Linked DNA regions of Xenopus tropicalis. The protein of the gene in region 2 purifies or fractionates together with the protein of the main gene of each other region. This does not show direct contact. Links are inferred from orthologs where the notes say so. Each region holds a gene or a part of one and is shown on either strand. Other genes may lie near its edges.

Evidence for each region.
Region 1: the proteins of usp13 (region 2) and bag6 purify together in Homo sapiens (affinity purification with western blotting; 3 studies listed by BioGRID and IntAct, with this or other methods). This does not show direct contact. The link is inferred for Xenopus tropicalis from reciprocal best matches to the Homo sapiens genes USP13 and BAG6.

The regions. Positions count from the first base shown.
Region 1 is NC_030684.2:74,272,542-74,276,754, forward strand, and holds part of bag6 (large proline-rich protein bag6), read left to right. Parts: intron 1-217; coding exon 218-299; intron 300-776; coding exon 777-1,084; intron 1,085-1,656; coding exon 1,657-1,942; intron 1,943-2,116; coding exon 2,117-2,286; intron 2,287-2,488; coding exon 2,489-2,542; intron 2,543-2,627; coding exon 2,628-2,730; intron 2,731-4,185; coding exon 4,186-4,213. UniProt on the Homo sapiens protein: ATP-independent molecular chaperone preventing the aggregation of misfolded and hydrophobic patches-containing proteins.
Region 2 is NC_030681.2:108,713,119-108,717,331, reverse strand, and holds part of usp13 (ubiquitin carboxyl-terminal hydrolase 13), read left to right. Parts: intron 1-1,196; coding exon 1,197-1,371; intron 1,372-2,773; coding exon 2,774-2,862; intron 2,863-3,720; coding exon 3,721-3,843; intron 3,844-4,213. UniProt on the Homo sapiens protein: Deubiquitinase that mediates deubiquitination of target proteins such as BECN1, MITF, SKP2 and USP10 and is involved in various processes such as autophagy, endoplasmic reticulum-associated degradation (ERAD), cell cycle progression or DNA damage response.

The sequences.
Region 1 (4,213 bases), on a different chromosome or scaffold from region 2:
AGAGTATAGGGCTATTATCACACACAGAGAACATTTAAACTATAATTAACACACATGGTGCACCCTAATTTCCTGATGTTACTGGTCATTTGAGATCATTTCTGGTTGGCTGCAACCCATCACCCACTTTACCCTGTATTTATTGGCACTCTCTTTTCTTAAGATTTTAATTTGACATTGTAACCTGTAGCTTTCTTTCTCCTACATCTGTCTCCAGGTGGGTCCAGCAGGAAATGCCTCCTTGGCTCAGATGATCAGCGGTCTTGTTGGACAGCTTCTGATGCACCCAGTTATTGTTGGTGAGAAGGCCAATGTTATGTCTTGTTTCCTGACCTAATTTCTATCTGCCTGCTTCTCCTTTCTTGTTTTTTTTCTCTCTTTTAACATAAGGTTTTGTAAAAGACATTGTGTATTTGCAGATATTGCAATAATACTGAAATAGAACTAATTTGGACACTTTTGGTTGGGAGATTCTCATTCCCTATTTTTAAAAGATATTAGTTTATGTATAAGCCTGTACAGGTAATTAATACTGGGTAGGCCGGGTTTAAGTAACTGAACACTAAATTAATAATTGTCTATGCTGATTCTATAACAAGCTGTCTATGTGTAAGTGGTTATTTTACTGCATTGGTCATTTTTATAGTCAGGACAAGCTGAGGTTAGAGAATCAAGACTGAAGTAAATGCTGAGTGCCTTTCATTTGTTTACTAATGATTGTTTTTTGTTTATTTTTCTCTCTTGCTGATTTGTCAGTTATTCTTCTCTTTTCACAGCTCAGGGTGGCAGCAACACCCCCTCTTCTACGTCAACCCCAACTTCTACATCCTCCTCCAGCTCCTCTTCATCCTCCACTGTCACTACCTCTACAACAACCACCTCTTCCACATCCTTCCCCACTGTTTCATCAGGTCCCTCTCCCCAGCCCCCACCTGGCACTGATCAACACCTCTCTCAGCTCCTGGGCTCTTTACTGGGAACTGCCGGCTCAGGGATGTCAAACTTCGCTATGGGTTCGCCGAGTATTACTGTTACCGTGCCTGGAATGCCGGCCTTTTTACAGGGTGTCACAGATATATTACAGGTACCTATTGTGGTGTTCAGTGTGCATGTGCAATGCAGTTGCATACGTATGCTTTTCCAGTCCTTAAAGGAACAGTAACACAAAAATATTTAAATACGTTATAAGTCACAAAACATCTCTAACATTTTTGTATATTTAGTAAATAATGGTCATACAGCCAGCTTTGTTAATTACATTGTAGATACAAATTACGCATTTCTCTGTGGGGAAGCTGGTGTCAGTGGTTTGTAGGCTAGTTTTTAAAATGTTTTGGAAATGCCTTGGTGGTAAATAAAATGGAACTTGTATTTAGAATTAGAAAGAGGTAGCTAACCTCACCAGTGAGTTGTGATGCTTGTGTTTGCCTTCCTGTAAAGCAAGACTATAATAATGTTTGTCCTCAACTGTCTGTTTTTTCTGCTGTCTTTGTTTTTGGTGTTTTGTTAAAAAAGCAAAAAAATAAGACTTTGGAATACAGAGATGTGTAGATACCACAAGGCAGTAAAATAGGAATAGGTTATACAAGGGAAAATACAATGAGTTTCTATCAGTAAACACAATCTAACTTTATCCTTCTCTTTTTGATTTCTTAGGCTACACAGACTGTTCCTGTTTCTACTTCTCCTCCCCAGTCTGCTTCTCAGGCTCCTCCTCCTTCATCACCCTCACCACCTCCTGCCCATTCCTCTCCCCCTCCAGCTGCCGCACCAGAGTCTCTTCCTCCAGAGTTTTTCACTAGTGTTGTTCAGGGTGTCCTTTCATCCATGCTGGGGTCTTTGAGTGCAGCTGATCAGAGTGGAACAGAAAGCATTGCAGCTTTCATTCAGAGGCTCAGTGGCTCCCACAACATTTTCCAGCCTGATGCAGAGGGACCTGGTGGTAGGAAACTTCCCTATGGCATTTTCCTTTTGCCCCTTTCTCGTTTTGTATATGTCTTTTTTTCTTTCTCTACACCCCTTCAATTGTTTCTTCCATTTACTCCAGCTTTTTTCTTTTTAGAATTCTTTCTCTAAAATTTGGCCTTTAACTTGTTTCCTGCCTCATTTGTTCCAGGATTTTTTGGTGACTTACTCACCTTGATTTGTCACAATTTCTCCCTGGTCGATATGGTAATGTTACTGCATGGTCATTCCCAGCCTTTGCAGAATCTGCAGCCTCAACTGAGATCCTTCTTTCTTCAGGAGTATCTACACCAGGCAGATCCCACACCTAATAACATCCAGGTATGTCACTATGTGTTCCTTTCTGCAGCTATAATGTGGGTGTGTATCTCACTTGGGGAGTAAAATGCTGATCCTTTATTCCTTTGAGTATGATCTCTGCACAGAAGTTAGATTCTTTCTTAGCACCCAGTGATAATGCTAACTTTTAATATATATTATCTTATATCCCATAAGCAAGACATCTTTTTTCTGCCTCTTTCAGATGGCATCAAGAAATCTTACTAATGGCCTGGAAGAGTACATAAGAGAAAGCTTTGTAAGAATTTTTTTGTCCTTTATATTTTACACTGACTGTTTTAGTGGTTATATCGCTAATCTTGTCCCCGTGTCATGTCTACCAGGCCTCCGTTACTGTGCGTGATGATGTTGATATCACAAGAACAAACCTTGAATTTCTACAGGATCAGTTCAACAGGATCACAACACACATCCTACATTGTGCAGGTATCTATGTGGAAAAGGATCCACATTTAAAGTCTTGCTCTAAACCTTTATTTGGTTACTTGGGAACTGTCTATCTCCCTTCATATAAAACAGATGATGCACTCAGCAACTATAAACAATGGTATCGTGAGGCCTCAACCAGAGCCCATATGCCAGCAAATTTGTTGTCCCTCATATATAGTAACTTACTAAGGTCCACTGAAATAAAGTTTTTTGTTTTTTTTTTTATATTCTTTTTTTTCATTTTTCAAATATTTACAAAGAAAAAGGATAACATACAAAGTGGGAAAAGAGGGGGTAGGGGTATCAATGGTCTGTTACAGTTATCACAGTTTGTATAGTTACGTCATTGCGTGTTTTTTTTTTTTTTTTTTTAATAATTTACTGTACTTGAGACCATATACAGTAGAGGGTAGTTATTTGTTTTCTGTTATGTTTTACCCTAAGAGAAAGGGGGGTAAAAGTTGGGTAGAGCAGAGCAATGCAGTGATAACTTGTACCTGTACTTTTGGTATAGTCTTATGTTCTGGCAGAGGTATGTGTATTATATTGTGTTGTGGCATACCAGGATATTGATTTTGCTCATATTTTTACAGGGTTTCCAAGGGCTTAGACCTGGGTCTGGATTGGGTTGCTGGTTGTTTGGTTGTAATTGACCATATTCTGGAGATTCTTTGTATAGAATCCAAGTTGTCCAGACTTTAGTGAAGTTTTCACGTGATTTGGTGGTATGTGCTAACATTTCTTCCATTCTCATAATATGGTTGAGCTCAATCGCCCAGTCTCCAATCGTTGGGGGTTTGGTATTCTTCCAGAGTCTGGGTATAACTGTTCTAGCTGCCGTTAATGAAAAGGCAAGGAGACCCTTTTGCTTAATAGAAATTTGTTTGTTGGTAGGGGGTTTAGAGAGTAGTGCTAGGGCTGGGTCGGGTTGGAGGTCAAGGCATAGCACTTTAGAGATGGTTTGGAATACATGGGTCCAGAATGGTTGTAGGTTGGGACAGTCCCACCATATATGTTTCATATCACCTCGCTGAATATTGCATCGCCAACACTTGTCTGATACGTTTGGGAACATGGTGTGTAAAGTGGCCGGGCATTTGTACCATCTAGATATGATTTTGTAGTTTGTTTTTTGGGTTTTTTTTTTTTTTAGTCGACTGTCTTTTAGCTTTTTAGTTGTGCTTTTATGGTGAACATTATTTTGTTTTCTTGTTGCATGACTCTCAGGAACTATATAGTGATAGCACTGTTTCTGAAGACCTGCCATAATCTGGTCATTTAATTGTAAAGAGGTGGGGCTGCAAGCAGGCTTCAAACCTGATTATGGTTAGTGTAGATTAGTCTGTGTGTTACAGTTGTGAGTAGTAACTAAACTCCATACAGGAACATAAGTTTTTTTTTTTTTTTTTTTTTTTTTTAGAATTCTAGTTTATTAATGCCTTTTCCCTGCAGATTCCACATTCGGACAGCGGCTTCTTGA
Region 2 (4,213 bases):
GTTTCAGTCAATGGAATGACAATTAGGTGTTTGTGAGAGACCCCGTTTTATTTAAAGGGGTTGTTCACCTTTCAATCAACTTTTAGTATGCTGTAGAGAGTAATATTCTGAGACAAAGAAGGTGTCTGAGGACCTTAGAAAAATTGTTGTTGATGCCCATAAAGCTGGAAAAGGTTACAAGACTATCTCTAAAGAGCTTGGATTCCACCAATCAACCATCAGAGAGATTGTGTACAAATGCAGAATATTCAAGACTGTTGTTACGCTCCCTACTCAGATTTTTTTTATATTTAATTTTGACATTTCATATGGGGCTGGACATATTCTTTATTTCCCAGGGTGCCACAGCCATGTGACCTGTGCTCTGATAAACTTCAGTCACACTTTACTGCTGAGCTGTAAGTTGGAGTGATATCAGCCCCCTCCCAGCAGCCGATCAGCAGAACAATGGGAAGGTAGCAAGATAGCAGCTCCCAATAGATATCAGAATAGCACTCAATAGTAAGAAATCTAAGTCCGGCTTGGGACTCCTCCAGTTACATGGGAGTAGGAGAAACTATAGGTTATCTGAAAGCAGTTTCAGTGTGTAGCGCTGGCTCTTTCTCAAAGCTCAGGATCAGGCACAATGCATTGATGTGGAGCCTACGCACCAATATTACAGCTCAAAAAATACATAATGTCCCCCTGTTCTAATGCTCATCTGGCTGAATACTTTTAGACTCAAATAAAATGTAACAATAGTTGACTGTCCTCAGCCTGCCTTCAGCCTGCATCCTCCAAATCCCACAATTCCCTCCACATGTGATGTCAATAAGGAAAGGAATGGTAAAATAGTCCCTGCATGCTGTCTGTAAACTGGAGAAGTTGTTACAATTTGTAACATCAATGTTTTAGAAAAAAACTGTTTTGCAGCTTGATTTCAGCATACAAAAATGGTATTTATTCTTACATTTTAAAGCAACAGATGACAGTGATATATTAGAGGTTTCTGTGTAGTGTGGTGGTCTTTAACAAACTTTGGTTTGGAAGCTGGAGTTAATAATAATTTAGAAAACTGAAAATGCCCCATTGTTTTCTCTTATTTTTGTTATTTAGCAAGTTTTGATGTTGAAATATTGCTGAATATATGATGCGGAAGTTTGGTAACAAATTTCTCGTACAAATATGCAGCCATCTGACTTGTTACCTTTTAACAGAGGAACTGATTGCATATGACCTGAAAAGAAGAGAAGCAGAGAGTGCAAAGAGGCCTCCACCGGAGCTGGTCCGTGCCAAGATCCCATTCAGTGCCTGCTTACAGGCCTTTACAGAGCCTGAAAATGTGCCTGACTTCTGGAGCAGTGCTCTTCAAGCCAAGTCTGCGGGTGTTAAGTATGTCATGCTTTTTTATCTTTTTCTAACGAGTGGCATCTCTAATAGTCTCTAATAGTAAAAGCTGATCTATCCACTATTTAGCTATCCAACAGAACCACTGCATATGATTCTTAGGCTTGACTCAACTGAATCTAAGTTATCAATGCTGGTTTTAGAGTTAAATCATTTTGAGTTTTTACATGCACAATGCCACATTTACCCATTTATTATCCTTTGTGCATAATTATGGTGTGCATGACATAATTTGTACCATAAATGCAGCAGTATTGTTAAATGTTAAGGTTATAAATGATTACAGGTATGGGATCCCTTATCCGGAAACCCATTATCCAGAAAAACTGATTTCCTTTTTCTCTGTAGAAATAAAACAGTACCTAGTAATTGATCCCAACTAAGATATAAATAATCCTTATTGGATGCAAAACAATCCTATTGGGTTAATTAATGTTTTATTAATTTTTTAGTAGACTTACTAAGACTTACTAAGACCCCTTATCCGGAATACCCTTGGTCCCAAGCATTCTGGATAATGGGTCCTATACCTGTACTAGTAAATATTTCACCTGACTCTTTCATATTGGTATGATACCAGTAAATTAATCGTATGATACCATTCTTTCATCGTGACTTTCTTTGAATTATTCTCACAATTCCTTGAAGTTTTCATATCCATTAGGTAAGACATGTGCTCCTTCCTTTGTAAATAATTCCCTGCCTGAAGGCCAACGATTTGCTGTCAGCTGTTTCCTAGAAGAGAGAGGGTGCTGAGTGTCAGCAAACGATTTCTTCTCCCTTGCCCAATTCTATATTTAGATTGTGCCAGAGAAACAGCAGTTTCTGTTTGGAGTGCAGGGTTTCTCATGTGCAAGTGTGTTATTATTAAAATCATCTTATAAAGATATCTTTGCTCCCTGCCCTTTAAAAAGTAGGTACTTTATACATTTGGATAGTTTCACATTATTATTTTTAATTACCTGAGCAACCATTCTATTGTCCTCAGCCAGTGCCAGATTGGTGAACCATACTGTATTTATAGAGTTCCAAGCATTGTACCAAATCCCACACATGCACGTGCACCTGTACATCTAGACTAGAAATTTACTTTGGAGAAAGGGGAAAGAACATTTACCTGGGTACTCTTAACATGCTGAGAGTATAGACTGGGCTACTTAAAGAGTGGCATCTATACGATCTCTCTGATTAGCTAGTTGGTGGCAACTGGGGCAGTTAAGTGCAAGCAGTAGTGACACAGGCAAACACAATAGGTGGCCGTTCCTTAAAAATCTGATTCACACTAAATCAATAGAGTTGCATTTGTGTTTATTTTATAGAGAAAATTATATGTATGATCAGGTGTAATCTCATTTCTTTACCAATATTTTAAGTGTTTGTTTTTTAGGACATCTCGCTTTGCTTCATTCCCTGAATACCTGGTAGTCCAGATAAAGAAGTTTACATTTGGCCTTGATTGGGTACCCAAGAAACTTGGTGAGTAATTAAGTACTCAGGGCAAGATTTACTAACATTTATGTTTTTTCTTTTTTTCAAATTGTATTTTTTAGTGCTAAAAATGATAAATTATGAAAAAAGTGTTTGAGCAATTAGTAAAATATTCCAAGTGTAAAAACCATAAAAACATTATTACAAACATATGCCATCTAAAAGCTGTCGAGGGCATTCAGAAGTCAATGTCTTAGGAAAATTATAACAGTATTTAATGTGTGGTTTTTGAGGTCTTTTTGTTTTTTTTCTTTTGTAAATGCACAAAAATTCTTAAACAAGGATTTCAAGGTTTTGGCAGGGTCAGATTGGTGTGGTGCAGGGCTCACCCTGCCGTGGCCCCCCACACCCCCTGCAGGGGTCCCCTCTAATTGCTGGACCCACTTCCCTGAGCGTGTGTAAATTGAGCTTACTTTCAGTGCGTCGGTGGGGGGAGATCTGGCTGGGATCCAGTCTGGCAGATAAATAAGCCAACATTTGTGCTTTTTAAATCATGGCTTTTTTTCATGGTAGAAAATTCACAAAATTACAAATGTAATTGTTCTGCTCCTCAGTGTAATAATGAGCAAAGTTATATCATAATAGACATGATAAGGTTAATTCCCATTCTATATATTCTATCTGTGATGACATAAGAGATGTTGGGTTATTAATGAAATGTTAGACTAGTGGCCCTTTTTGGGTGTTTGCCTACTTTGTTTTATTCTCCCTGAAAATATGGTGTTGCAATAGCCAAAACTGCTGTTGCTTTTCAGAGATTCTGAAATATCGCCCCATGTGCCATTGCTCTTAGGTCAAAGAGGATAAATTAAATGGATGTAAAGGTCCTTCTTTCCTTTTAAATAGATGTGAGTATAGACATGCCAGATCTTCTTGACATCAACCATCTCAGAGCTACAGGGCTCAAATCAGGAGAAGAGGAACTTCCAGATATTGCTCCTCCTATTATCATTCCTGATGATCCCAACGGTATGTAATAATTGAAAAATTGACATTTGTATTTTTTTCATAATAACATTGATAAAACATTTTTAAATCAGTTGGCCCATATTTGCCTTGTTTGTGTGCACCATGAATCATATGATCTAAGGGGGTGGCCCTTAGAACTCTAAATGGCAGTTTTCTATTTACGATTACCTAGAAGCATGTACAAAAGTATATATTTGTAAAAATGGTTCATTTAGTTGAAGCAGAGCTTTACATCTGAGCTGTTTTATGCAATATATATTATAGAGACCTACATTGTTTGTGGGTAATGATTTCCTTTAACAAGTATTTATTAAGATCCAGCATATTCTGCCGTTCTGTGTAATAAATGGGTGTATACAATAGAAATACT